Arabidopsis thaliana: one gene and its partners. The protein of the gene in region 2 interacts with the protein of the main gene of each other region in a pairwise test. Each region holds a gene or a part of one and is shown on either strand. Other genes may lie near its edges.

The links.
Region 1: the proteins of KLCR2 (region 2) and AT3G11590 interact in a two-hybrid assay, tested with the Arabidopsis thaliana proteins (one large-scale study listed by BioGRID).
Region 3: the proteins of KLCR2 (region 2) and RBCS2B interact in a two-hybrid assay, tested with the Arabidopsis thaliana proteins (one large-scale study listed by BioGRID).
Region 4: the proteins of KLCR2 (region 2) and AT4G30490 interact in a two-hybrid assay, tested with the Arabidopsis thaliana proteins (one large-scale study listed by BioGRID).

What each region holds. Positions count from the first base shown.
Region 1 is NC_003074.8:3,657,122-3,665,325, reverse strand, and holds AT3G11590 (golgin family A protein), read right to left. Parts: upstream 5,029-8,204; 5' UTR 4,829-5,028; intron 4,730-4,828; 5' UTR 4,699-4,729; coding exon 4,216-4,698; intron 4,163-4,215; exon of another isoform or gene 3,541-4,162; coding exon 3,418-3,540; intron 3,052-3,417; coding exon 1,789-3,051; 3' UTR 1,592-1,788; downstream 1-1,591. Other genes in the region: AT3G11591 (bric-a-brac protein), read left to right, coding at 1,355-1,546.
Region 2 is NC_003074.8:10,378,859-10,387,026, forward strand, and holds KLCR2 (Tetratricopeptide repeat (TPR)-like superfamily protein), read right to left. Parts: upstream 4,392-8,168; 5' UTR 3,982-4,391; intron 3,801-3,981; exon of another isoform or gene 3,767-3,800; 5' UTR 3,736-3,766; coding exon 1,955-3,735; coding exon of another isoform or gene 1,951-1,954; exon of another isoform or gene 1,866-1,950; coding exon 1,655-1,865; 3' UTR 1,372-1,654; downstream 1-1,371. Other genes in the region: AT3G27950 (GDSL-like Lipase/Acylhydrolase superfamily protein), read left to right, coding at 53-225, 293-557, 663-913.
Region 3 is NC_003076.8:15,378,970-15,385,164, forward strand, and holds RBCS2B (Ribulose bisphosphate carboxylase (small chain) family protein), read right to left. Parts: upstream 3,103-6,195; 5' UTR 3,010-3,102; coding exon 2,839-3,009; intron 2,749-2,838; coding exon 2,614-2,748; intron 2,474-2,613; coding exon 2,234-2,473; 3' UTR 1,938-2,233; downstream 1-1,937. Other genes in the region: RBCS1B (Ribulose bisphosphate carboxylase (small chain) family protein), read right to left, coding at 5,381-5,620, 5,792-5,926, 6,016-6,186. UniProt on the Arabidopsis thaliana protein: RuBisCO catalyzes two reactions: the carboxylation of D-ribulose 1,5-bisphosphate, the primary event in carbon dioxide fixation, as well as the oxidative fragmentation of the pentose substrate.
Region 4 is NC_003075.7:14,896,747-14,904,797, forward strand, and holds AT4G30490 (AFG1-like ATPase family protein), read right to left. Parts: upstream 5,399-8,051; 5' UTR 5,138-5,398; coding exon 4,888-5,137; intron 4,805-4,887; coding exon 4,725-4,804; intron 4,614-4,724; coding exon 4,513-4,613; intron 4,419-4,512; coding exon 4,296-4,418; intron 4,220-4,295; coding exon 4,150-4,219; intron 4,049-4,149; coding exon 3,962-4,048; intron 3,867-3,961; coding exon 3,801-3,866; intron 3,719-3,800; coding exon 3,626-3,718; intron 3,547-3,625; coding exon 3,490-3,546; intron 3,401-3,489; coding exon 3,269-3,400; intron 3,173-3,268; coding exon 3,082-3,172; intron 3,002-3,081; coding exon 2,913-3,001; intron 2,821-2,912; coding exon 2,627-2,820; intron 2,541-2,626; coding exon 2,480-2,540; 3' UTR 2,288-2,479; downstream 1-2,287. Other genes in the region: TPR1 (Tetratricopeptide repeat (TPR)-like superfamily protein), read left to right, coding at 754-1,047, 1,229-1,411, 1,504-1,630, 1,834-1,947, 2,076-2,191; AT4G30500 (transmembrane protein (DUF788)), read left to right, coding at 6,812-6,895, 7,095-7,288, 7,566-7,650, 7,757-7,822, 7,926-8,018.

The DNA of each region.
Region 1 (8,204 bases), 6.7 Mb from region 2:
TTATGTCCAATGTCTAACACTATTAATTTAGAACAGTAGTTCTTTTTCGGTCTCTATTTCTGAAAACTAACAATAGATTTTAATTGATATAGCTACTCAGTAATTTTTTTGATCTCAGATCTCTTAAAACAAAAATTAAATTTACTTCGTTTGACAAGACCTTCAGATCTTTCAGGCACATGAATCACATTAATATATGTGCAATATCATAATGTTATCAATATCGAACCAACCTTAACTATAATTCATGCATTTTAGGTTAAGATCTAAAGTTTTTTCCATAACTCTTTTTATCTATGAAACATAATGTGCGAAGGTCAAAAGCGGTTTAAGGCAAAAATTTAAATTGTTGCCTTGAATACATATTTTTCTTTTAAAGACAAGAGTTTTTTTTACCATTTTTCAAATATTCTCATTGAAAATGAGATTTTGTGAGTTAATATCATGAAAATCAAAAATAATTTTCATAAATGTTAATGTTATGATTTTTTTTTTAAAAAAAATATCCTTAAACACTAATTTTAAGTAAATACTAGCCTTAATTTTTATAAAGATGTAGCCTATTAATATTATATTGTTGATCTAAGAGATTAGACATTCTACTTATTTTAGTAGCTATAATATGATTTCGACATAAGCTTCACGCTTTACTTACAAAATGTTTAGATTCATAGCGAGTAAAACGTCGTAGAATCAAAGCTCAAAGCCAAATCTTAGTCCTCCTCACGAGCAACATTTTTGCTATGATGTTGAGCTTACTCCGGATCTTTCGTTTCTTGGCTTTTGATCTTACAATACAATAAGATTTAGATCAACAAACCCACACACAGACCATAAAAATCAACAATCAATCATATATTGCTCTACAGTCGTGGGATGGCGACGAAATCTGTGTTACCATCTCCGTTCGGCTCGCATTGTCCAGACTCGTCGGAAGTCCTATTCCGAAGAATATTCGCAGATCTGTTGGCCGGCGGCTTTTTTGGATTTTCCGATTGAAGATTAGGGCTTCATAGTAGATCGGTTTAGTCAGTTTATTAGCTCGGGTCGATTTTGATTTAAGAGCTTGGTTCGGTTTGGTATAGTTGATTGGGCTCTTTTCAAATTTTGTATGGATCTAAATTCGAAAATAATCCATTAAACCATTGTTTATAATATTAAATAACCAATAACAAAAAAAAAAAAAGTTCTCGCCTTCTCGGTTTAATCTTCATTCCTTTTTTTTAATACTCTTTTTTTTTAATTTGTTGAGAAATTGGAGATTAAAAATAAAGCCCAAAATAAAATAAAAAACCCCGGCCCATTAACAGTTAGTATTAAACAGCTTTTGCAACAGACGGCGGTAAACGATAAGATGGTGTTTTTTATGTCGTATCCGCCGACACGGCGGCAGTTAGTAGTGTCGGTGGGTTTTTTCGCGGCGGGCGTTTCTCTCTTCGTCGCCGGAGCGTATCTCTCACTCGCCAACATCTCACCGCAACAAGCTCGCGTCAAAGCTCGTAATGATTTCGTCAAGGATCGAATCAGGAAATGGCTCGACGATTAGTGTCTTTTTTTCGATCTTGTAGGCGTTCTAACTCTTAAATGATATAAATCAAAAGACGATTTCGTGTAAATTCATGCTCTTACATGTTTGGATCATTACCAGTTCAAATTCATGTTTTATGTCACTTACAGATGAGAGAATCACTCTTGACAAAACGAGCGAACAGAGAAAAAATGTAGATGTAAAGTCTTTAGATTCTGTTATCTCTGCGCTGAAAATGTGAATAAAATTTCTTGATCATATTACCATCTTGATTTTCTGGCATTCTGGTTCTCGCCTTTCGAAGCATCCGATAACCGCGACTTTGAAACAGATCCACCGCGGAAGTTACTTAGTCTCGAACCCGAGAGGATATGGTGATCTTTTGAAGAAGCCTTGTTTGGTTTATAAGCTTGTGTTTCATCTATATACCCTTTAGGCTCAACGTCAATAGATCTTCCCCAATCCAACCCTCCATCTCCACTTTTTTGAAGCTTCTCGCTCTGTACAACCCAATCAACACAATCCGATATGCTTCTTTGTAAAGAAAGGCTTTTCCTTGGCGTTGATTTTCTTCCTCTGTTCTCTTCACCATAAGGCCATTTATAGCTCTTGTTGTCTATGTTCAGTTCTATGGAATGAAGGTCGCTTTCGCCTGAACCTTCTTCATTTCCATTCTCGACTTCTCCATCTTCGATGTTATATGATCCAAAACTGATGTGATGGTTTAAATAATCTCCAGCCTCTTCGTTATGTAGCTGAGTTTGAGGTGGTTCACGGGTCTTCTCTTTACATCTTTTTGCTTTGAGGTAAGTTTGAAGCTGGTTTCTTAGCTTATCAACAGCTGCGTTTTTCTCCTCGAGCTGGTGTTTAGCCTCCGATAGTTTCATCTGTACTCTCTCTTCCCGCAATGCATCTGCTAACTGCAACATCTCTCTTTCCTTTTCGACTTCTTCTTTGACTTTAAAAGATTCTCTCTTCAGTTCTTCAACTTCGGCTTTGTCTTCGCTTATGTCTCTTGCTAGTTCATCACAAACTTTCTCAACCATCACTCTCGCTCGCTTCTCGTTCTCGATTTCTTTAACTGCTTTCATCAGAGCTGATTTTGTTTCAGCCAATTCTTTGCCCAATTTCTTGTTCAAGCTCTCAAACCGTCTCCTCAGCTTCCTCTCCACTTCTAGCTCACCAGCAACAGATTCGATTGCAGCCTCAACAACTTCTTGCTCGTTGCTTTTCCACACAGCTTTCTCTTCGGCAAAACGCTTCATCAAGTAGCTAATGTCGTTGTTTTCCGGTTTATGTTCGTGGATTAACTGATTGACCTGTAAGCGAGCTCTTTCGAGCTCAGAATGTAAAGCAGAGACGAGGGACATGCTAGAAGATGGGCGGTCGTCTTGACCCCACATTCTGTTAATGATTTTGAGAAGCTCTTTTGATGTTGTGAGAGCGTTACTACAATCCTTCAACCGTGTTTTGACACCCACAGTTGACCCAGTCGGTGTCTCCACCCGTGATCGAGTCTCAATCTGCATTGGAAAAACACATTTCAAATATTTTTGAACATCACTCTCTTGCACACATATTGATTTATAGATGATGGAGGCAAATTAACTAATCATAACGGATTGAGTGTCTCCTAGTTTCTTATACCGTTATTTGCAATGTTTCTGTGCATAACAAAACAAACCATAGATTATGTGTACGTATGCTTCCAAAGTAAAAAAACCAACAGCCTCTGGAGCCAATAATGCTCAATAATATACTACTTTCATCCTTAATCAAATACCAAATTTGGTTTGAGAAAATTATGAAAACTGCTAGAAGAAAGGGTTCCTCATAATGCTCAAAGAAACATCCCCAAGAGTGAAAAAAAAATAAAAAAATCAACTTACATCCATGAAGCTGCCACTGTTAATAGGATCCCTAGCCCCCACATTGCAGTCTCCAAGCCTAAGCTTTTGCACAGTTGATGAAGCTCTTCTCTGGCGACTCCCAGTCCCTGATCTTTCCATCCTCTACAAAAATCAACAAGTTTCTCAGCTATCCAATTACCTAACACACAGAAGTAAAGAAAGCAGAATTCTTCGCATTGTCCATTGCCAGATTTAGCATTATATATAATTTTTCTTAGGTCTCCATTATAAGAGAATCTAGGCCTACATTATTCACAATAAATCAACCTCTAAAAAACAACCAGCTACCTCCATATGACCAACGAATGAGAAAGAATAAAAACTAGTAGAAGTGCCCAATTATGCAAGAATAATAGGCACCAACTTATAAAGAAACGCCCTTTCATATAAACATAAATGTGCGTTATAGAGCACATGACAAAAGATTCTTAAGATCAAAACAGTTTTCTATTCTTCTCTAATCCCACTCCTTAACATCAACCAGAAGCTTATACGAATAATAATCTCCCTTGATGATTAAAATACTCATAGAGGTTGCCAAAAAAATCACAACTTTGACTAAATTCAGACCTTAGAATCACACAAAGATTATCAATTTTATCAGTTAAAGATGAGATCTTTATAACTTCCCCGAATCAATCAATACTATACTATATATATTATTGTTTTTCTCTCTCTCTTTTGATCGGTCAGAATTAAAGCACATGGCAGCCAGCAAGAAGTTGGAATTACAGCACATTCTCTTCCTCTCAACCAATCATAACCAAAGCATTTTACCTCAGAGACTGGACTATGCGACGGATCAGAAAGATGAGGCGGTAGAGAACCAGAATGAACCGATGATCTCGGCGGAGGAAGCGGCGCGATTCTCTCCTTTCTACTCTTTCTAATCATTGGCGCAGCCTCCTCCACAACTCTAGGTGAAGGCATCTCGTTCATCTCCCAAAGCGTCGCAGCTAACTTCCTAGCTGAAACAGGAGCAGGAGCTGATACTTTACCGGTTTTGCTCCCGCAGTGAGACGACGGAGAAGCAGCAGCGTGTAAAGCACCGGAAGCTCGTGGAGAAGGAGATCGACCCATAAGTCTCCATGTAGGTACAGGAGTAGTGGATCCTCCTCTTTTACCAACAACTATCGCTCTTTTGAATCTATAACCTTCACGGAGAATCGAAGAAGTCGACGATGTCGGCGAAGAACAACCACGTTTCCTGATTTTGCCAAGTAGAAGTAGATTCTCTACGCTTTGATTCTGCCTCGGCATATTCAAAACAATTGTAGATCTTTCTCTTTACCTGGAAAAACAAAAAGCAGATTCAGAAAATTTCACCGATCTGTTAGAAAAAAGCACAAAGACCAAAATTGAAGTTTTTAGAGTGAGTAAGAACACTTACAGAAACTTCAAAGCATTTCTATGGCTTCTTCTTCTACTTCAGAAGATAAAGTTGGAATGGGAATTGGGGGAATTTGGAAAGAAATGGCGGTTGCTGTGTTTTGAGGTTTTTTGATCAGACTAGTGTACAGAGTGTTATGTTAAAGTGAAAAGGGGAAAGATGACAGGAGTACTCATCTTCTGTGATAAGGAACACTGTAACATGTCCACGTGGTTTGATCTGTATGGATTATGGATGTTGCTCCGTGATTTACAGGGTGGATGATTTGTAAACCGACTTAAACCGAAATAATTGAATCGAAAACCGGAAATCACTTCCTTTTTATCGGTCCTGAAATAAGAGATTCTCAATTAGAAAAACAAACTAATCAACAAATTTCTTTAGTGAAGAACAAACTTATATAAATAGTATTTAGCAGTAAACATTATTTATATTTGGTTAGTATATGGTAAGAATTCGAATGAAATAGATCCTAAGTTCAATTTCACATGTTAAACCAAAAATTATGTAGATGTCATGAATTTATATCCATATTTCACAAAGTTTGACGGCTCATTGAGAACAATTATTTTCGATTAGAAGAAAGTCCATCTGCCTAAATAAAGGGAACTAGTGCATCTAATTTTATATTTGACCAAAAATATTATGCTCGTCTATGATATACTATGGGTTAATTTGGAGATTGGATCGTGTTTGTACTATATAGGGTTTCTTAAATGACGTGTTTGAGTAGGATGCATTAGATTTTAATCATTTGATACACAATTACATGAATCGATAAAAGACCAAATAATCTAAGGTTGTTCTTTTTACCAAACCAAGATTTTTAGGTTATAAGAAAATAGTTCCTTTAGTAGATTCCTAATGTGGACCAAAATATCTTGTTAATCTCATGCTTATGACTCCTAAATCATATGATCATGTTCCTATATGAGGTATATAATATACCATTTTTCTCCATTAGACGAGTGTGAGTGAGAACCGGTGTGCTTAAGTTACTCATTACAAAATGTGTCTACTACTATTCCAAGTATATAGATATTCATTTCAATAGGTTTTGAAGTTTTATCTATACCCACAATTTCACAAATCACAACCCGTTATAATTATAAATGAATATTGATATTACAGATTTACACTCGTGTAATTGAAAAATGGATGACCGAAGTATTCATGTGAAACCATGAATATTAAAATGCATGTATTATTTTTTTTATAGCAGGATGATCAGATATGATTTCCTAGTTTTCAAGATATTGCATCCATAAAATTCACAAGTTAATTATTTGATCAAACTAAACAATTGAAACTGTAAACGTTACAAAGAAAGATAACACGGCCACACTTTTTTCCGTTGTCAAATGGACACGTCCAAGTGGAGGAGATGATTCAACATACACAATCGTACCGTATTATTGTTCAACTCTTTATTGTTGTAAACGTTTTTTGTTTGGGTCAAGTCTCTTTATTGTTGTAAACACGATTCTTTCTATAGTACTTTCTGTCACATAAGTTTTTTTTTTTTTTTATGGTGAATCCGGAAACAAAATCTGTTCGAAAAGACAATTCAACCTAGAAATAGTTGGATCTACATCATATCAAAATATATAGGTAGCAATCAATATAAAACATTAAATATATGAACAATGTAAGACTATAGTGTTAGATACAATTGCGTACAAAAAGTTCAAAATATATATGAGTCAGGCCCAACTAAGATATGAATGCCCAATAAAGAACTAAGAAATTGGTTGCCAGAACTGTATTCCTATGGGAGTCTTCTTACTTCTGACTTCTAATTTCTAACAACAATTTAGTTTTTTTTTTCTCTTTTTTTTTTTTTTTTCTTTTGGCTGTCAAAGATCTAAGTTGTAATAGTTTTGTCATTTGATGAACTTTTCAATTGTAATAGCTGACTCAAAAATTTACCCAATCACCATCAGTATACCTTATGGTATGAATGCATGAATCTATGGTCTACCAACCATCAATCTTTCACTTGCTCCATTACCCAACTATCAACATCTACTATGATATATGACAGAAATGGAAAACGAATATAAATTCGTTCAATAAAATAAAAAATATATATGTAGTAGATAAAGTTGTGGTTGAACCTATGAATGAATATTGGATAGATGTGCAGACAAATGTGTGGAGTGTGGACCTTTGCCGACTATTGCATGTTTTCATCTTTTGTACCGGAAGGAAAAAATAACTTACCATTTTCTATTACCTTTATAGCTAGATATACAAATTTATAGAAAAATAAGTAGTATTAAAAAAGAAAAGAGAGAGAAAAAAAAAAGAAGAAGAAAATCCAAAGCGTGAGGGTAGCTTTCGGATAAACACAGAAGATTGTCTCCATTTTCTTTGGAAATTTTGGGATCATGGGCGTTTTGTAGGACCCATTACTCTCTCAGCCCTGCTTCTGCCACTCTGTGGGCCCAATTTAAAAGCCCACTCTTGTTTCTTTTCTAAACCACGTGAAAACAAACCACAATATGTTATATTCAATCAAACAAAAACTCTATTATCTCTCAAAGTATCTGTCATATGTTTTTCTAGAAAATTTGATTATAATTTTTCTTTTAATCTGCATTCATTTGTCCACTAATGATGTGTTCCAACAAACATGTTCGCTCTCATTGACGAAGAGCTAAGTCAACAAGTCAACTTGTTGAGAGTTATGAGATGTCTAATCCTAATTATACACATCATTAGAGGGATACATATATATAGGCTTTCATTATTTTTATTTTTCTATTATTATTTATCCCCATAATGTAAGTTCTTTATTAAAACACATCTTTCATTCGTAAAGAAAATAAAGTTAAAAAAAAAAATTAGAAAATACAATAATTTTTTGTTTTCTATAAAAATTATAAGCGAAGGCATCGAATCATATATATTTTTTTTTTAATTAGTCGTATATGATTTCTCTTATGTTTTTATTTACAGTATTTCACACCGTGTATTTATATTGTCATCTTGATTGGTAATGTTGAAGACTACAATTGATCATTTTCATAGGCGTTCGTAAACTACTGATTTAACATTATATTGTAATAAAAGAAGCAAAAGGTGGTTAACTTTGAAATGGGGACTCTCAAATAATCGAAATTTTGATGCAATGTAGAGAGCTCAGAGAGTAGATAGAGAGAGGCGTGCAATTGTGTGTTGTTCTCATTGTCCCACCATCTCTATCTTCTTTTGTTTTTCAACTCTCCCAAACCGCCAAACTTAGCCGTACCTTTTATTTTTGTCTTCTCCATTTTATAACCTTCTTTATTTTAATTTTCTATTAGAAGTAAAAGTTTTAAATGTTTTATCTTCTATAGTGAACAGTGTGTTAAACTTATCATCCGTTATGATT
Region 2 (8,168 bases):
ACATGTTTTGTTTTAATGAAAACTTTGTTGATATTTGTTGTTTTGGCCTTAGGAAAAACTCCATTCTGCAAAGAAGTCTTTGCACGGCCCAAAGATTTCTCAAAAGCTCTTTATACATTGGATATCGGCCAAAACGATCTCGCGATTGGGTTCCAAAACATGACAGAGGAACAACTCAAAGCAACTATACCCTTAATCATTGAAAACTTCACCATTGCCTTAAAAGTAAGTATCTTAAAATTATCGGAGACTTTGGTATAAAACAATCTCTAACAATGATTTATTTTATTAGTTGTTATACAAAGAAGGAGCAAGATTCTTCTCAATTCATAACACCGGACCGACAGGCTGTTTACCGTATCTTCTGAAAGCTTTTCCCGCTATACCGCGAGATCCCTACGGTTGTTTGAAGCCTCTGAACAATGTGGCAATTGAGTTCAACAAACAACTCAAGAACAAAATCACTCAACTAAAGAAAGAGTTACCTTCTTCTTTCTTTACTTATGTTGATGTCTACTCGGCCAAATACAACTTGATCACCAAAGCAAAGGCTCTAGGTATGCACTAAACCAATTAAACGGTTTATATTTTTGGATTTTATTGGTTACGGTTAGACTTAAGACTTCTCATTCATTTCCGGTTTTATCAAATCTATAATGCAGGTTTTATTGATCCTTTTGACTATTGTTGCGTTGGGGCGATCGGACGTGGAATGGGATGTGGGAAGACAATATTTCTAAATGGGACAGAACTCTATAGTTCTTCCTGCCAAAACCGTAAAAATTTCATAAGTTGGGATGGCATACATTACACCGAAACCGCGAATATGCTAGTCGCAAACCGAATCCTCGATGGTTCGATATCGGATCCACCTCTCCCTACCCAAAAAGCATGTAAACTCACGAAAAAATAAGTTGCCATGATATAAACTAATAAATGTCTAGCATATTTCTGGTGCTTTCAAGTAACTAGCCAAAATTTCTATTCACATCTCTCTTTTTGTTTTTGAATCAATGTAAAATTTTCTTCAAAAAGTCATTGGTTACAATATATGCAGCTTTAAGCAGAATGTTTCTATTCACATCTTATCATATTAGTTATTATATAAAAGACTATATCAAATAATCAGTAACTTGTTTGGTAAGAAATTTTAAACCGCTTAGTTCAGATTATCTTTTGCTTAGTGACAACTTTTCTTTTGTTGCTTTGCTAAGTGACAACTTCTTGATTCGGTGGGTCGTCTCTTTATGTTCTCATGCTACATATGTATGTGTATATTCGGTTATTGTTTTTTGTTGACATTCATGAACATTACATGACAAGACCAGACAAGATGTTTTAGTAACCAAACACTTGTTGTTTACTCAAGATCAGTGCTCAAAGTTAGAGAAACTGCCATCAAGGAGATTTTTAAACTCCAAAATTTCAATGTAAATCACATTACAAAACGACCAAATCAATTGCGTTTTACTCTTTACATTTTATTTATAAAGAAAACAAATGCAAGATTTTTTTTTTTTTCCTTCACTTTTTATAAAACTAGAAAACATAAAGCCTCTTCATTTTTTTCCTTCTCCCTCGACCGTGTAAGTACCGTATTCGAACTTGTATTTTGTATATATATACATTTTAGACCGGACAATAATCCGGTTAATCAATAAACCGGTCTCTGTCCATTTGCAATTTCAGGGTTGTTGTCCAAAAGGGTAAGAAGTGCTCTGTTTCTTTTACTCCTTCCTCTTCCAGCTTCTTTCAACAACGCAGCAAGCCTCTGCTTCTCGTCCTCAACCTCGGGATTTGCCGTCCCGAGCTTCTCTTCTCTTGTCCCAACAACATACTCCAATATCTCTATAGCATCATCTAACCTGTAAAGCAAGTAACACATTGCTTGTACCGCAGGGAAATACCAAAAAACATAACCTAGCAAGAAAATTGTTTTAAGTTCCAAATTTACCTTCCCATTGCGTCGTACGTTCCAGCAAGGTTACTGTAAACCGCTAATGTATCGGGATGGTACGGTCCACACTCTTTCTCAAGAATAGTTTTCGCTTCTTCAAACAAATCTGCAGCTTCATTGATCGCGTAACGCTGAACGCAAGCTAGTCCCATCTGATTCAAAGCAATCCCGAAAAGAGCGGTTTTTTTCTCTCCGCTATTGCGGAACTTTGATATCGCGCTCTTGAATATGTCGTAGGACTCGGAGTAATTTCCCATCATATAAGTAACCACACCCATTTGAGCTTCAATACCTGCAATCGTGTTCTGTTGACCTGGAGCGTTTGCATATATCTTCAACGCCCGTCTCAACAACTTAAGAGCTTGATCAAGTTCATTCATTGACTGATATATCGCAGAAATCTCTATAAAACCAGTCGCAACCTCTTCCATAGGAGTTCCTGGAGTCGGTTTTAGGTAAATCTTGAGAGCGTTTTCGCAGTACGATTTGGAATCGCGTGTTTTCCCAATCTTGTTGTACAAGTCAGCAAGCCTAACGTAAACCAAAGCAACAGAGGAATGAGTCTCACCTTTTCCTTGCTTAAACACAGCTAAAGCCTTCTGGTATGCGAATATCGCTTCATCAAACCTAGCTAGCGACATGTAAGCATCACCAATACTGCAATCTACAGCAGCAACATCTTCTCTATGGTTCTGAGATGACATTGCCATGCTCGCTAAAACATAATGCTCAAGCGCAACTTCATAATCACCTTTCGCATCGCAGATAAGTCCCATCAGTTTTCTATCCGCAGCTTCTTCAATAGAAGCTGTAGCGGCAGCACCGTTTTCTTTGTGAATGTCCAATGCCATTTGACAAAGCCTTGAGGCTTCTTCAAACTGCATTGCTTGAACATGAGCTTCCGCTAAGTACCTACAAGTTTCGCCAACTCGTGCATCCGATTCTCCAAGAACTTGTCTTTGAATCTCCAAACCCGCGGTGTATAGCATAATCGAATTTTCAACTTGACCCATCAAACCATACATGTCACCAAGCTGCATACACCCTGCAAATTTCGCCAACGCGTGATCCTCACCATCTTCAATCATCGGTATCTCGATAGAACGTTCAAGAACAGGCACAGCGTCATTGTATCTCCCTAACCCTGCATATATCGCTGCCAAGATATGCAAAGACATCACCAAATTCAACCCAAGTTGTTTCTCTCCTTCCCCACATTTCTCAAACACTTTCACCGCTCTCAACGCTAAATCAAGAGCCTTGTTTAAATTCTCACCTGAAGAAACCAACTCTCTGGCTTGCTTCAACAACACCACACCAAGCTCAGGACTCTCCTCATCAACAGAAACCTTCCCCAAATCCGGTGATTTCCTCGAAGAGATCCTCGAACCCGGCATCTTCGGATTATTAGGACTCGTTTTCGCAACCTTCTTACCATTCGAAAGAGGTTTCTTCTGACTCAAGCTACCTTCTCCATTACTTTCTTCCTTCTTCTCCAAGATAATCTCTTTCTTGCTCTCTCCTTCTTCTCCTACATCTCCAACCAAATGCCTCAACTCCAAATCAATCCTAGATTCAGCTCCATACGAAATAAAACTCGCCCTGGACGGAGACTGATCATCAGAACTCTCCATTTCACAAACGTTATGATACAACTGCTCAATAGAAGCATTCATAGCTCCATCAATTGCAAGATCTATAGAACTCAGAGGACTCCTCGGTGAAGCTTGAAGGGCAGAATCGTCTTTTACCCTCTCATTGCTCTCTCCTACGTCCATGGCCTCCAAAACTCACAACTCAATTATAAATCTGAATCAATGGAGACCAAGATTTTAGATTCAAATCCGTTAAAACAACAAGATAACATCAAAAGACTCGAAATTGAGAACCATAAGTCCCTAACTAGAATTATCTAAAGCTGACATAGATTCAGTTACTAACAGAGAACAAAACCCAGAATCAAATTCAACGAAATTGAAAAGAAAAACGAAAACTTTGAAGATTTTAAGAGATAAAAATCGAACCTTTATGTGTCTTTGACTCTGAAGAAATCTGCAAGAAGGCAAAAAAAGAACAGATTCTGTTTTTTGGTAACTTAGTGTGGTTGTGTAAGAGATGAAAATGAAGGATTTGGTGTCTTGTACTTTTCACTTTTAGGTGTTTGTTTTATATCTTCACTTTCATAATCTCATAGCTAATGTTATGAGAAAGATGAAGCAACAACATTTATGCACAAACCCTTTCACTGTCCTTATATGTTTTGAAACAAAAGCAGACTTTTTTTTTTGGGTCTACATTGCTTACTTTAATTTACCTTTTAAATTGAATTATTGATTGATTATATTAAGATAATGAAGATGATAATTGACTCTTTTTGATGTGATTATATGATTATTTTTTCAAGAAAGAGATGCATAACCAGAAATTTTTTTGAAGATCATTAGGTTTGAAGATGATTGACTCTTGAAGCAATAAAAAGAAGATGACTTCTTCCCTACTTGCACTCTCTCTTTAAATAATTTATCTTTTTTCCTCAATTTTATAAATAAATTTATCTCTTTGAAAAATAATAATGAATGTCTCATCCATTTTTTTTATCATCTAAAATTTGATTAAAAATTTGCTGTGAAACCAAAGAAAATTACAAATTTTCAAAGAAGGAAAAGTAAAACCGACAGATAAAAAATAATTCCCCAAAAATTACAGCAGAAAAAAACGAGATTCTTTCTGGAAACTAAACACTATGAAATGAATGTTTCATCCATTTCAAGATTACCTTTTTTTTAATTAAAACTTTTAAAAAATATTGTTTCCTTCACATGCAATTTTTTCATGAATTTGTTTTTTTAAAGTTAAAGTTTGAGTTTTGCCCGTTAAGAATTAATTATTTTTCTTATTTATCCTAAAAGAAATATTGTTTCCTTGAAATGCAATTTTTTAGGGATTTAATGAGTTAAATTAGAACAAAAAAAAATTGAGTTTTGCAGGTTAATTAGCCAGCTAATTAAATGCTGGGGAAAGATCACAATTCACAAGTCTACGTCAAACCCTACAAATTCACAGCTGTATAATAAGTACCGTTGAGATTCCGCCACGTGTCATACTTAATCATCAATTATCTCTAATGATCATCCCATGATCTCTAATCTATATACGTAATATTAAAAACGTGAACAGTTAAAAATTTAGCCTTTTGATTGATATAATGATGCAGTGTTTTTTTTTTAGTATAGTCTTTAACTCTTTATGGAAAGAAAAATTGGACCACTGGATTTAAAGGATTGAATCACTAATTTAGTAAGAATTTTTCTTAATGACGAAATGATATGACACGTGGACTACAGCTGCATACCAGTTAGACAGCCTGGTTTTATGGTCCAGATGTGGTCCACCTTTAAGCCCATTACGGCTTTATGGGCCCTTATAGTCATCAGTGTAGGGCCTACCCAAAATGTAATTTTTATAGAACTCTCGTTCCCATATTTCATGAGTCAATTTTATTGTGAAAAAACGATAATGCGCTTAAGGCAATTTTTTCACTAGCCAACCAACAAAATATCGAAATGACTATTATTTTTATTTATTTTTTTTTTCTTGTCACAACGAAATGACTATTTATATATGTTTTTGTTAAGAGCCCATAACATTATATTATTTGGTTGGTCGGTCATATTATATATGCAAATTATGTATGACTTGGTTTCTTACAAGAGACAGAGACAACCCACACGTTTGTTCATAATTCTAAGACCTAACAACGTCTCTTCCTTCGGATTTTTATTTTTGTATATTGCATAAAGACAACTCTGTAACCACAAATACTTTATTATTTCCTATTCACAAAGTTATAAGCAATTCTTTTTTATCGTCAGTTCATAAGCAATTCATTGGATTAATTTATGAACTGAAAACAAATTGTAATCATTGACGACTGTTGGGCGGTGCTGTTTTCTTTAACTCTTTCGCCGCTCGAATCCCATATCAAATCTTATCTGTTCACAAATTATTTGGTTTTCTAAATTCCTACGCGTTTTATATTACCAACACGTTTTTGTTTTCTTCGAAAATTTTAGGTCAGAACGTATATAATTTTGACAAATTTGTCAAATACTATCTCTGACAAAAGTTTGATAAATTTTGACAAATTTGCCACAACATCAGTCATTGAATTGTACAATAACTGTCTAACAAATAAAAATTTTCTACTTAGCGTAAAATACATTCGTTCGTGAATCGTGATGAAACAAGAATACTTGCGAAACAAGCAAAGTAAACCTAATCAAATGCATGATTTAAGCATATACCGCAGGATTCGTTTCAGAATACCAAAATCTGCAACTATTGGAGCATGCATTCGTTGACAAACAAAATTGACTACATACTGGATATACGGCCGAGTGATGGTGAGTTATTGCAATTTTCCAGCTAGGCTTCGAAAATAAGTTGCATCCGAGGATAATTCAAAGTTGAGGTTGTCGATTTTATGTGGTAAAAGAGTCGGCATCAGATTACATTCAGACATAGCAGCCTATTGTAGAATGTCAGATGCATAAGCTGTTTGGTGAAGAAAAAGACCGTGTGAATCAGTTTTGATTTCATCACCAACAAAGTCATCTACATAGAGTAGAAGCACAAGTTTTTTCCCATTTTTGTGATATGTGAAGAGAGAAGGATCAAATTTGCTGCAAGTAAACCCAAAATCTAGGAGATAATTACCGAAGGTGTTGAACCAAGCTCGTGGTGCCTGCTTGTAGGAACCGGTTCTCATGATTCAACCACCGAGTTTTGTTGAATCATGAAAACCGGTTCCTATTATTTTACTCAATACAAAAAATGATTGGATTGGATGACACTCATCGATTATTTCAGCTTTTAAAAGTAAGAAAACATAACCAAAACATATTATAATTAAGCATAATATTTGACCATTTCTTTTCGATTGTTAAAAAATGACTTTTACAAACAAAATATAAGTAGACGATTTTTAATAATTACATACAAGTGCATCAACTATTTTTACGAACAAATTAAGATTCCTTTAAATTACGTTCTTAACTTCAATCAATGGAGTGTTTCAAACCTCTTCCGTCGATTTGACAAAACATTCGTTAGATTTGTTTCGATTTGTTATTAAATTCAATTCGATTTGAAAATTTTAGATATCCATAAATTAACGAAGCAAAACTTAAAAGAGATATTCGTCAAAAACAGAGAAAATCAAAAATACTATAATTTAAATAGGTGAATATCTGCTCTTCTTCAAAATTAATTGCATACATAAATTCTAATTTTATTATTCTTATATGTGTTTTATAATCTTGTAATCATCGAACTAACTGTTTGAATTACAACATTGATAAAATATTACTATTTTTGACAAATATAATTTACTATTTTTTGATAAAAAATTACTATTATTAGATTAATTTTTATATTGTTTTATTTTATAGAAAAATATTTGACAGACTAGATATCCAACAAATAGTTTGGATTTTAATGGATATAAGAAGAGGATATTCGGACACTAACAAAACAAAAAAAATTGAATAGCTAAGTATTCAGATAAAGCAAATCAGATTTCAAATACCACCTAATTTTCTGATATCCGCTTTATGCCCAACACTAATCTGATGACTTCTGTCTTCAAAACGTTTCTACCAAACATCAGATAGAGCCTAATACTGGTTTTGGCTAAGAACCAAAATTGAATTATCACTAGTATCACATAAACATACTATTCATCCAGTCATGTAGCATCTATTGATTGGAGCAGCGAATAGTCCTCACGAGACACACCTTGATAATGGTGCAACTGTAATGTCTGGAAGCTCAGATATCGTCTTCGAGGAGTTACACGAAGGATCCTGATGACAAATAAAACATAAGTTTCTTTTTTATTATAAAAAAAACAAAAGGGAAAAACAAAAAATCAAGAAATATTGAGTTCTTTAAGTAAGTTTTTCTTTTTGTGAGTCTAATACAAAAGTATAGAAACGAATACTTACATTCTGTGGGTTTACACACTAGACGTAAAATGAAATTTCATTAATTAACTATAATAACAACGTCAATAACATAAGTAAACAACTTGTAGTTGAACTTTTATTTTTCTTACTAAACTTTCTAATTGAAGGGTATATTTTTGTTAATTTTGTTAACGTATCTTTAATCGAAGGTATTTTAGGTATTAAATGTAGATAAATTTTTTTGT
Region 3 (6,195 bases), on a different chromosome or scaffold from region 2:
TTTTTGCTTTAGAAAAAAAATTAGAAATTTCTATTTTACAAATGAAAATAGAGATGAGTTAGAGTTAAATAAATACAAAAATAGAGTATATAAATAAAAATAGAGATAGATTCGAGATGCTCTTAAAAATATTCATTACTCTTTCCGTTTTATTAATATCAATTGTTAAGATTTTTCAGGCAGACTTATAAATAAGATTCCATTTCAGACTAATGGAAGTAAACCTATCAAAAGAATTCTAACGTGCTGTAGAGAGACTCCTTCGTCATCGTCCCTTTTGTGAAAGAGTAAATTAAAGAATCCATAATGAGCATAGTGTAAGAAGAACCATTTATCTATTAGATATATTCTAGTACTGGTAGACTGTCGATTCTGGATACATCCTGAAAATCATTTACCACAATAAATTGTCGATAATCTTTTTGTTGGAAAAGTTATATATTATCTTCAAATGATAATATATTAGTCGACAAAAGAAAAGCGAGACAAAATTTGAATACATTGATTTCGGTTAATTCAATACTTTCACTTCATTTTTAGCAAATAGTACTTTTATTTCTGATTTTTATGTGGCTAGGATAAAAGCAAAACCTTACTGGTTGGAGAGAGTAAATATTTGAGTCGATACTAACAACAACTACATCATGCAAGATATGTTTGTGGGACAAAGAGACCGAGCGAACAAACGAAACGGCAAAACCATCATCTACATGTATCAAGTGCGCGGTAAACCCCTCATGGAAGAATTTCCAAGAAAACCTCCCAAAGTCCATGGTATCTTCTATATGAGGTAATGCACGCTGCCTCTAGATCAACAAGTAATATCAGCTCACGATTATCTTGCGACTCTGATCACATCACAATAACAATGGGGAACCCACATACGCAACCGTTCTCCTTGGAGTACCATGCCATTGCACTTACGGCCCCCTCAAGCACAAATATGGCACCTCAAGCTGATTTCCACCATGCAAACTTGAGTATGTAATCAAAGGTGTAGAACGGAGTCAAGAACTCATCTTAAAGTCACATAAAACTATGGTCATGCACTCATGGATCACGACTACTACCTTCAGGCTCACAAATTAATGCCCCCTTTTCAATCATATATATGAGAAGAAACGTGTACAAAGTACACATTAACTGGTCACGAAAAAACTTTCGTGTAGGGAAAAGGATCACAAGGTCCACTCCACTCCGCACCTCAGCTAAATAAATCATTTTTCGAAAGTGAGATAGTCTTAACTCTTAAGTCTTAACCCATCCATCTAAGTTACTAGTTTCTGTCTTTTATAAGTCATTTTGTTTCTTTTTCTTGGATTTTAATTGAAGCCAAAATGTGTGAATTAAATCCGGGAGATGGAAAAAATGTTCGATAATTTGAATTATTATTTTTATATGTATTTTGTATTTGAATCATGAATTTTTTATATTTCGTTTGCATAGAAGAATCCAAAAACATATGATTTTTTGTCAAAACAAAAACTTAAAACCAAACATATAGTAGATGCGACGTTTTCATTATCATTTGGAATCTAGTTTTATTTAGAACTTTTTGGGAACGTTAACTACTTTTCCTTCTAAATAACTGTTTCAGCTTTTAATGCATAACCAATGATCAAATTTAACGTAAACAAAATTTCCAAAATTTAGTAACTTCATGCTTGACAAATTTCAGTCTTTGTCGATCCTTGCTTTATGTAATGCTATTTCTTGACTTAATATCCCACTTAGGGGTTTGGAATACATGTTTTATGTTTATAATTTTAAAAGATGCATTTGAATTTTCTGTATATACTACCTTTTCCAAATCTCCAATGGCTATGTCATCTGAAAAATGGTTACACTCCCTTACATAAACTTTTCTCTAAATATCGAGGTTTGATTGATTGCTTTCATGTGCAAAATTTCTTAAAACAATGTAGCAAGTTTTTCTTTTTTTATTAGAGTTTATTGGTTAGTCTAGGGAGTCAAAAGCAAGAATTATGAGGATAATTTAAAGGAGCCACAATGTTGTTTAAAGGAGCTAAACGAAAAATAAGATTTCAAAGATTTAAGGGCAAAAATGAAATGAAATGATAACTATAATTATAGAGAAACTGATAGGAATAACATTTTCACTTTCAAACAATAGTTCCTCAACTGTTAAGTCGGCAAATAATTTCTTAAATTTGCATTGACCACATAGAAATGGGTTCCAGAATAATCAACGCTGAATATTCCAGAAAGGGGATTAAGCTTCGGTGAAGCTTGGGGGCTTGTAGGCAATGAAACTGATGCATTGGACTTGACGGGTGTTGTCGAATCCGATGATCCTAATGAAGGCGCCAGGGTACTCCTTCTTGCATTCTTCAACTTCCTTCAACACTTGAGCGGAGTCGGTGCATCCGAACAATGGAAGCTTCCACATTGTCCAGTATCGTCCATCATAGTATCCGGGAGTGTTTCCGTGCTCACGGTACACAAATCCGTGCTATATATAAAGAAAACCATTCAATACAATTGATATATATATTGGTGATAGTCTATTTCGGTTATCCACTTAAGTTTCTAGCAATGAAGAAGAAGAATAAAGGATGCTTAGAGACAAAGGAAAAGTTCAGTGTATATTACCTCCAACTCGAATTCAACACAAGGAATCCACTTGTTGCGGAGAAGGTAGTCAACTTCCTTAGCCAATTCAACGTCACTAAGGTCAGGGAGGTAAGATAGAGTCTCAAACTTCTTCTTTCCGATTGGTGGCCACACCTATAAATTCGAATTCCCAATTATTCTAAAGTATTGTTCAGTTGCACTAATTGCACATGACAAAAGACAGTTTTCATTAATGACATTTACCTTCATGCAGCTAACTCTTCCTCCGTTGCTTGTGATGGAAGTAATGTCGTTGTTGGCCTTGCGGGTGACCGGGAAAGAAGCGGATGACTTCAAGCCGGTGAATGGAGCGACCATGGTGGCTTGAGCCGGGGAGGTAACCACAGCGGTGGAGGAGAACATAGAGGAAGCCATTACTTCTTCTTGTTGTTTCTCTTCTTCTTTTGGTTTTTCTCTTACTTACTTGTTTGTCTGTTGGTTTTGTCATCTTTATATAGTGGGAACCGCTAGAGGCAACTAGCCCTAATGATCAAAGGGGCCATAATTCATGATAACGTCGTTAATTGCCACAGGATTAAGGAAAGGTGTTGACACCCTTATCGATTTGGACCACTAGGATAAGATCACGTGGCAGAAAACTCCATAATCTTATCTTTCTCATGTAAGGGTAGGAGTGAATGTGTATGGCTACTGGTCTCCACTTGATCGGTTGCTTTTGGCTCCTTTCAATTGGGAGGCGTCAAATTGTAGATATCGGTTAAATACTTTTTACATATAGATTAAAAAAATGATTAAATTTCTATTACCTTATATTAACACATTCATATTTTTATTTTTCCACTTGATAATCTTAAATAATAAGAATATAAGTATAATCTTTGAATTCATCCCACATTTTAAAAGTATAATTAAATCAGACAGAGTTCATTCAAAATGGTTTTTAATTGGGAAATGTAAACTAGTATTTTGTGTTATTATTTTCTATGTAGTATGTACGATCACTAGAACTTTTAGTCACATAATGGATATTAAATTAGAAAACAATCCAAATGCTTGTGAATTTTCAGGTTTTACGGCTAATTAATATATTTCTGATGAACAAGAGGAACCCACGGCACCGTTCCTTTTGGAGCACAACGCAATTGCACTTACGGCCCACTTAAGCACGAATGTGGCACCTCAAGATAATTCCCACCATGACAACTTAAGCACAAAAGCCATGACGGATCATGGGGAAATTTTATAACACACTTCAATGGATGGTGTGGATCCGAGGGAAGAATCCACACTCTAAGGCCACATGAAGAAGCTCATATGGTCATGGGTCCACGAATACCACGTAAAAGCTCATATATGCCCCGGTCCAACCATATGAGAAGAAGTAGCCAAACCCATTCAAGAAACATTGATTACTTTTCATTGTAAATAAGTGTTTTAGCTTTGAATGTATCGTAAACTATCTAATTTAATGTAAAACAGTTTCCAAATTATAAATATTCATGCTTTGTTATCTCCATTATAAATTTCATTAATTCTTGCGTGTCCTTGCTTGCTATGATGTCATCTCTAAATTTTTGGACTTGCGGCTCTAGAATTCATGTTTATGGATTTAAAATATACAGTTGGATTTTTCTATGTCATTTTAAAAAAGAAAATTTTTAGATTAGATTTTAAAAAGAGAAATAAACGTGTTTACAACTTAATGCATACTTTTTTGAAAAACAAATCTAAAACAGAGGATTTGGTCTTAAGCTTGTCTTGTACCAAACCAAACTTGAAGACCTCCTTCATACTTCAAAGCTCCCCCCACTCCGTATTGTGCTCAGCCGGTTCCAAACATTTTTGTCAATTAACTTGACAAGTTTCTCCATTGGTGATGGTTGTTCACCATGCTTTCAAGCATTTCTTTCTCCCCAAATCGAATGAACCGTGTTTTGGAAGACATACCGTAGAATGAAGATTTTTGTTTTGTCATAGTTTTTGTCACAAATGGTTTTAAAGACTTCCCTCCAATATGTCGAGTACTTATCAAGTAGTATTCCCCTTATCAGCTTCTCCCATACCTTCTGCGAGTAAGAGCACCCAAAAAAAAGATGGTGTCTTGTTTCCATAGGTTCGTGACAGAACATGCAGTTTGTGTTCACTTGTTGATTCCATTTAAACATTCTGTCTCCCGTGGCAACTCTGTTTTTTGAAGCTAGCCAACTGAGAAAGGAGTAGTTAGGGTAAAGTAAAAGAAACAGATCCCTTTGTATCCGTCCATCGTAGGCTTAGTGTTGCGAATTTTTGAGCATGTATCTCTTGTGACAAACTTTTGACGGTAGTGATCATTTTTTCCTTTCCAAAGGGCTATGTAACTTTCATCTTCTCTGAGACGACATCTCTATTTTCTACGTATTTTTACTACCTTTACTGGCTGTTTTTCATCTTTAAATTAAAATGTTCTAAATCAACCCTCAAAATTTGATTGATGGACGCATCTTTGCTATGCTTTCAAGTGCGAAATGTACCTAAAAAGGGTACTCTTTCATTAGAGAACCAAAGGCAAGAATTAGGAGAGAAATTTAAAGGAACTAAAATGTTAGTTAAAAGAGATAAAACGAATAAAAAGAGTTAAAAGTGATAAGAGCAGAAATGAAGTGATATGAATAGAGATTTTTATAGAGGAAACGATAGAAAAACAAACCTTCAGTTTTTTCACTTTGGCAAAATAATTACTTAAATTTACATTGACCATACAAAATTGGGTTCCGGATAGTCAACATTGAATATTCCAGAAAAGGATTTAAGCATCAGTGAAGCTTGGGGGCTTGTAGGCAATGAAACTGATGCATTGGACTTGACGGGTGTTGTCGAATCCGATGATCCTAATGAAGGCGCCCGGGTACTCCTTCTTGCATTCTTCAACTTCCTTCAACACTTGAGCGGAGTCGGTGCATCCGAACAATGGAAGCTTCCACATTGTCCAGTACCGTCCATCGTAGTATCCGGGAGTGTTTCCGTGCTCACGGTACACAAATCCGTGCTATAAACACATAAGAAAACCATTCAATACAATTGATATTGGAGGATATGCACAAGGTGATATAGTCTATTTCGGTTCTAAAAAATCCGGTTATAGGCTAATATTTCTAGCAATGAAAACGAAAAAAATAATAATGATTAGTAGACAAAGGAAAAGTTTTGTGTATATTACCTCCAACTCGAATTCAACACAAGGAATCCATTTGTTGCGGAGAAGGTAGTCAACTTCCTTAGCCAATTCGACGTCAGTAAGGTCAGGGAGGTAAGATAGAGTCTCAAACTTCTTCTTTCCGATTGGTGGCCACACCTATAATTCCCAATTCCCAATTATTCTTAAGTATTGTTCAGTTGCACTAATTGCACATGACAAAAGACAGTTTTCATTAATGACATTACCTTCATGCAGCTAACTCTTCCCCCATTGCTTGTGATGGAAGTAATGTCGTTGTTGGCCTTGCGGGTGACCGGGAAAGAAGCGGATGACTTCAAACCAGTGAATGGAGCGACCATGGTGGCTTGAGCCGGGGAGGTAACCACAGCGGCAGAGGAGAGCATAGAGGAAGCCATTACTTCTTC
Region 4 (8,051 bases), on a different chromosome or scaffold from region 2:
TGTCGTATACGAACCTTTTAAAGCGATGTTTCCTATAATTGTGCAATAATAATATGAATGCATTACGTGAAAGATTGTGCTTGTATTGGTATATGAACACATACTATTATACTAAAAAATTTGATAAAGAGTTTTTTTTGTTTTGATTTTATATGTAGAAATTATAATATTTTCAAATTATGGTTGAAAACAAAGATGATTTTCTTAGCAAGCCATAAGCTTTTCTTATATGCAAATGATAAAGTACTTCACATAATATGTTTCCCTAGATTACGAGTTAAGATCATATCGTTGAATATAGAATTTTGTGACGATACTAACTTGTTTTACTATGAAATCATGCACAATTTTGTGACAGAATTCATGATTTTGCTACGGAATCATCAACGTGTTATGATTTTTTTTTTAAATGATATGTTCTTACCTGAGAATAATGTGAATTGGATTTATACTAAAAACACCAAATTATAAGAACAGTACTTTTGCGAACAAAGATCTTATTCACAAAACCATATGATATACTTAATGGGCCAATACCAGGCCTGAGATTGCCTAACGTCGTTAGTAAAACCCGTTTAACCAGCTAAAGTATAACGTCGTCGTTTAAACAAGGCATCTTGACCCTTCTTCTTCTCTATCGAGTGCTCTGGATTCTGATTTGATTTGTGAGGAAAGCTAGATCGACGATCGAATAAGTCTCGCGCTGAAATCTATCTTTGTGCAAGCAAACTCTCGAAGAACCTTAGATTGAAGATGGTACTGATCGAATCAAGTGAGAGTGAAGACGAGATCCTCATCAAAAACGAACCAAAGCCAGCGTCTTCATCCTCACCGCAACCCACGGAGACGAAACAAGTCGACGGAGATGATTCCGATGGGTTCGAAACTGCCAGCGAACGTGAAATTAGCGATGAAGAAGGAGAGGAAGATGGTACCAAAAATGACGCCGTCACGAGTCAGGAGGAACCACAGCACTCGGAGAAGAAGGAAGAGCAGATTGAGCTAATGAGTGAAGGAGAAGCCATAGTCGACGACGGATCAAACAAGGTGAATCCACATTCAAATTAGTTTATGGTTTATGGGTTTATTAGCTAGTTCTCATTACAACTGTACCTATTGACAAAGTTTCAATTTTGCTGTTAAAGGTTGAACCTTTGGATGAGATTAGTAGAGAATGCTTTAAAGCTAGTGTTGATAGTTATTGAAATTTGTCTTTTTTGTTTGGAAGGAGAAAGCTTTGGCAGAAGCAAATGAGGCTAAAGCGGAAGGAAATAAACTGTTCGTTAATGGCCTTTATGAAGAAGCATTGTCAAAGTATGCTTTTGCTTTAGAGCTTGTTCAGGAGTTACCTGAGTCTATAGAGCTTCGATCCATATGCTATTTAAACAGAGGTGTATGTTTCCTCAAATTGGTATGTCCTTTATTTTGATTACTTCTTGGTCTATTTGAATTCCGATAGAAGATGAGTATAGTGCTCAAGATTTTCTGTGAAATGTTTGTCAGGGTAAATGTGAAGAAACAATCAAGGAATGCACAAAAGCCTTAGAGCTAAATCCTACCTACAATAAGGCCTTGGTTCGAAGGGCTGAAGCACACGAGAAACTTGAACACTTCGAAGATGCTGTCACGGGTGAGTTCATGAGTATTTATTTACCTTGTATGCAAGCAAAAGTCTTTCCCTTTGAGGTTTACTCATGAAACCAGTTTATTAGAAAAATAAGCTAGGAGTTTTAGGTGGTTAGTTTCTGGTACTTGTTACATGATAGATAGCTTTTGGTTGTAGATCAGGTTTAGTGGAAGAGCCATACTGAGCCTCTGTCTTCTCATATGCAGACCTGAAGAAGATCTTAGAACTTGATCCTTCAAATGATCAAGCTAGGAAAGGGATTCGACGTCTTGAACCTCTTGCTGCTGAGAAGCGAGAAAAGATGAAAGAAGAAGCTATAAGTAAGTTCTGAGAGTATTCCATCACGAACTTTTATTATCTTTTGCAATCAGCATGCATCAAGAGCGTGGTCATATATATGCATCGATTCATTAACAGTCATTTATACTGAATATATTTGTGTTTGTAGCTAAGCTGAAGGAGATGGGAAACTCGATTTTGGGTCGATTTGGAATGAGTGTGGACAACTTTAAGGCGGTTAAAGATCCCAACACTGGCTCCTACTCTCTTTCTTTCCAAAACTAGTTTAATATCGTAGTTGCTCTTGATGTATTGCTTCTACCACTTAAATGTTTAGCAACAATCTGGTTAATATTGCAATGTGTTATTGTTCTTGATGCATACATGAAAAGATGCAATTTCATTAGATTTAATATAGCAGTAAATCGAAAATTCAATGTTACAACAATGGAAAAACAATTTCCTTTTCATGGTTCGGATCAATCTGTTGGTGTGATACAGAAAATACAATAAGCTATTATAGGATTTAATTGAAGAATCCCATGAAGAATCATCAAGGGTCTAGTATGAGTGTTACAGATTGTGTGTTATGGCATGGTGCTCCAAGTATTCTTTGCTGTTCATTTCTGTTAATCTACACAATAAACATAACCGCTTGATGAGTAACCAATGAAACTAATAGATTTTAGTTGTTAATCACAGAGTCTGTTATTACATTACCTACTGATGGTTCTGTCTTTTGCGAAACCTAATTCGTTATCCACGCAGAGCTCAGTAACATCGTTCTTTCTTGATCTTGATGATGTTCTTGGACCCATCGATTTCGCCTCTGAGATTGTTATAATCTTTTCCAAAAGTTCTTGAGGATTTGCTTCAGCTGTACACAACAACCTCGCTCTGTTCTCATACATTACCTGCAATTCTTAAACCATCATTATCAGATTTTGATGAAATGGTTTGGTAGTGCCATCTTATAAGAACAAAACAAGAACCAGGAATTGCATACATCGACTAGCGTGACGAATCTATATGCAGCAGTACGGTTATGAAGCCCAAACACTGGAATTTCGTCCAAGGCAAGAGTATGAAACTTCTCTGCAACATCAAGAAGAAGAAGAAGCACTGTTTAGAGACAAGATTTGCAGATGAGAGAGAGACAAAGTAAAGTATCTTACTGAACAAACCGAAGTAATCCGCAGCTCCAAGAGGTCGGTCACATAGCTCTTCAAAAGGAAAGTATGCACATCCATTGGCACCTAATGGAATCTGTTCATGAAGCAGCATTTGGTCTGATGAAGAACTTATATACAGACAACACAAGTGTTGTTGGAGTTACACAGAGATTGGTATAATAAACTGTACCTGTAATTTTCTTCCCATCACCACTTCTACTACCTGTGGACGGGCAACAACATTGTCTCCAATCAATTGTCGGAACTTCTGTTTCAAAAGGGTCGAAAGATCTTTACCAATGAAGTAGAATCCTTGCTCAGCCTGCAAAAATGAAGAAGTGTCCCAGTTATTGAACTCAGCTCTACCTTGAAGCCAGTCTAGGGAGTTTTTAATGGGATTAAGAGCAATACCGAAGTTAGTTTCCGGTAATCAACCGCTGAACCGATCTCATGAACCACACTTCGTTCCTGCGAAAATGGAAATCTTGATGCAGTCTTTGAATTAAAAAGGTACTGAAAGTGGACTAATGATAGTAGATTAGACTACCTTCAATGAAGAAATGAAAGGTAGGAACAGATCTCTTTGGAGTCCTCCTTCATAGAGTTTATCAGGATTCCGATTCGATGTAGCAACAAGAATCTATATTTTATATAGCAAGCATGGACAAAAGTCAGTTTTAAGATGATTGTAGCAGCATAATGTAAGTAAAGATGACACTTACAACACCATTGCTAAACAGATGTCCAAAGAGTCGGTTTAGTATTAGAGCATCTGCAACATCAGTTACCTATAATAACAGAAACAGTAGCCGAAAAAATCAAGATGTGTTGATCCAAAGATGATCACTTTCAAGAAAATAAATATATGAAATAGTGTACATACCATGAACTCATCTAGACATAGTAAGATTGCATCATGAGCTATCTCTTGGGCAACAACTTCAAGTGGATCTGATAAACCCTTGTGCTTCTGCAAACATTATGAACCGAAATCAAACAACGTATCTCAAAAGGCTAAAGCTTTTCCTACTAAAATCAATAGAGAAACAATGGAAACTCAATTATCCATACTTGCAAGCGGCTATGAACACTCAACATGAAATCATGGAAATGTATCCTCTGCTTCTTCCAAGTACAAGGCCTAATGAAACAAGAGAATTGTCATGAAACCGCAATGCTCGAAAAAAAAGGATAAGAATTTGATCATACAAACTTACAGTTGATCAAAGAATAAGTCCATCAACATGGTTTTTCCTGTACCTACACCTCCATAAAGGTATAATCCTTTGACGGGTGAGTAAGAAGTCTGTGGCATGAGCCGAGACCAAAACCAACGACTTCTGTATTACACAAAAACACAGTTGTGTGAGACTCAAGTTCTCAATCCTAAACAGAGAAGGAAAGGTGTCAAGGCTAAGAGAACAGAACAATCACCTTGAGGATTTATCAGAAGTATTATACCGATCTAAACGACATGTATCTACTGAATCCACAAGCTCATCATATAGTCTCTGAAGCTCTCTCAATGCACTAATCTACAACATTTCAAACACAACCTTAAGCCGCAAGTAACACGAATCACATTTAATCTTATAGCTCAAAAGCTTCAATGAAGTAAAAAAGAGTGGCTATTATTTTTATCATACTTGGCAGATATCACCAGTCATGAGTTCACCATTACTGATTCTTCTCTCATACTCAACAAGAGGACCTGTTCTATTCACATCTGTCATCATTCAACAAATATCAGCAAACCAATAAACACGAACTCTGAGATTGATAGAATTTCTTTGCAAAGAGAAACAAAACCTGAGACGGTGACCCTAGTAGTAGCAGGATCAGCTGCTTCTACTGCTTCTGCTGATAAGCCTCTAAAGATACTTGACCTTGAATACAAACTTGAATTATCAGTGTTTGTATTCAGCAGAGCTTGATTTTGATTGACACCGATCAAAAGTTTGCGGCTTTTGGAGTAGAAAGTTGAAGAATAACGTTCTTGATTGTTCCTTAGAGCCCATCTAATTCTACTGAGAGATGATAACCTAATGATTGGTCTCATCTACGATCAATGCAAATTCAATTCAGCAGCTGAAACTTTGAGATACGGAAACAGAGCAAGAACAATAACCCAAGAAGAAAAACAGAATCTTTGTATGAGAGAAATCGGATCCGGATAAGAATTAGAGCACAAGAGGAAAAAGTGAATGAGAATATTGAAAAGTTAAGTTTGATGTTTATATGTAATGACGATGATAAATCTGGATAAGAGAGATAGAGAGAGACCCAAGAATAAACGGAGATGTAGTCAAATAAGGAAGATAGAGAAGAAGATCTTTAACTGTTAAACTCTTAAAACAGAGAGATAGAGGCGTGATTAATGAGTTATTTATCAACTAAGACACGTTTTTTATTTTTTTATTTTTATATACTTTCAATTTTTTAACCAAAATTGATTGTGTTGTACTTCTAATTACATTTGTTAATGTTGATTGCATAGTTGTTTTCCAGGTCATTAGAGGATTGTATTTGTCCCTTATTTAAGAGAGTTGACTATTTTTATTCCTATGAAAAAAGTAATTTCTTGATATATCTTTACCCTAATGATGTCTACAAGTCAAATTACAAATTTTATAAACAATTTTTAACATTTGTAATTATAGTATAGAATATTGGAAACGGAAGCTTCTCGATGTTGCGTTTGCGTACAGGATACTGGTGGACCTAGCGAATGTGTCCCATACATAGGCTAAGCATATTCCAAGTGGGAGAGAGATACGTGAATCAGACATGGTCCTTAAAGATGATCCAACGGTCTATAATTTTTCTAGTTTTGTTCTCAATGGGTAAGTTGAACAATGGACCTTAATGATGACATGTTGCATTGCGTATGATTCCACGTGTCCACGTCATTTCTTACACTGCAAACATGTCTTTTTCTGACCAACCCCTAACGCTACTTTTCTTTGATACATCTTTGTTTTTGCTATAATGGTGCTTGTTGACAAAATAATACTATGTTGAATTGACCTAAAACCATACTCAGATTGGGATATCCGAGAACCATTGTGTAAGACGTGATGTTTGATCCAAATATGGGCTACACTCAAATATTGGATATAGGCCCACAAGATATGATATCTTCATTTTTTTTTGTCTATAGAACAACATAAAACAGGGAAAAAAATTTACACTACTTTTGTTCTTGTTCCGTTATAAATATCGTTTTACCGATTGATCATAGAAATGGTATACTTTTTAGTTTTTGGAACAGCGGTAAAAGGTTTTATGTTGATGTCTTCTCCGAGCGCCGGTGATTTTCACACAGACCTTGTTATTGGAAAACTGAAATAATGCAGTTTTCTGTTGATAGGCCTTAAGATGTCAGATTTTATGGGCCTTTTAGGTTGTTCTGGCCCATTTAGATAGAACTGTTTCAGTTTTCCAACAACAACTGATAAGGATAGACGAAAGCCCAAATTAAGAATCTTTGTCCTAAACCCAAGGAAAAGCGTAATTACGACACGCAGCCAAACAAAACATTTCCTGCGTGAAAAAAGTATTTGAGAAAAGAGGACGACAAAAAGGTACAGGTGTCAATATATAATTGGATTAAACAAGCTTAGACACCTAAAAGTTTTCTCTCACACCATTTGTGAAGATCCAAAGCAAAAGAAGAATTACAGAAACTGAAAAAACTATCTTCCTCGTCTCTTTGATCATTCTCTTTTAACTCATGGCGAATCAAGGAGCAAAGAAGAGGAAAGATGAGAACGCTCGACACATGGCTAAGCTCCGTCTCATTATGATCCTTTGCAACGTAACTTCCTCGTTCCTCATTTCTTAAATTCTCAATACATTAATCCGTTGAGCTTAGATTTGTTTAGATACGTTACTTGTATCAATATGGAACTAAAAATCCGTTGAATTTGATCTTTAGGTCTCGAAAGTTTCAATGTTTAGCTGATTTTGTTTCGATGAATTCGAGGATTGATGTTTTTGGCAATATGTGTTTGCAGATTTTGTATGTCCTAGTGAGGGTTATAATTTCGCATTCAAGTCATACCTGGAAAAATTGGATTGGTCTTGTGTTAACATCGTTAGGTTACGGGATTCCATATAAGCTTCTTCATCAAATGGCAAAGCCTAGTGTTAGTGATGCTGGTGAACTTCTTGATGGTGGATTTGACATGAGCACTCCTGGAATGTGTGGGTACGTTCGGAAAGATTTGTCTTTTAAATTGATCAACTAGAAAGTGCCTGCTTTTGTCTCAAGTGTTTCTGTATAGTTGGATTCTGTTTCCATAACCAAAAGCAATAGTAGGAGGACTGTTTCATTATCAGTTGTTTGAAATGAGTGATGTTTTACTAGTTGTGGCTTTCTCCGAGTTTTATCGTTTATCAGTTGCTACATAATCGTCATCTTTATGGTGGATTGGATTTATGGTAGATTCTATAGTATAAGCCTGATGCTCTATTCTTCCTTGCAGATATTTGCATGATGTACTCTACATCACCTGCTTTGTGCAGGTCGGATCTATCATCTCTGGAAAGTTTTGGTACGCGTATTTAGTGGTATGATACCCATCTCAATTTTCTTTATTGCCATATTTTAAGGCAAACAACAGATTTGCTCTGTAGGAATGATGCAACCATTTACTTTTGCTTGTTTTTATTTTAGATCCCTGCATTTGGAGCATACAAAGCTTCTGGTCTTATTAAGGGACTATTGTCACATGGTTCAGAGGTAATCACTTTGTCTTGAATACTCTCAAAGTGCTTTGAACAAGGGGGAAATAAAACATGATCATTTAAAATGGACTGTGTTTTGTCTATATGACTGAACTTAGGGAGGTGTTGAGGATGAGAAGACTCGCAAAAAGAGGGAGAAGATGGAGAGAAAAGCTTCTAGAGGACAAGTCGTTAAGACAAGATCTCGATGAATGTCTTAAACATTCATCTTTAGCAAACACAAT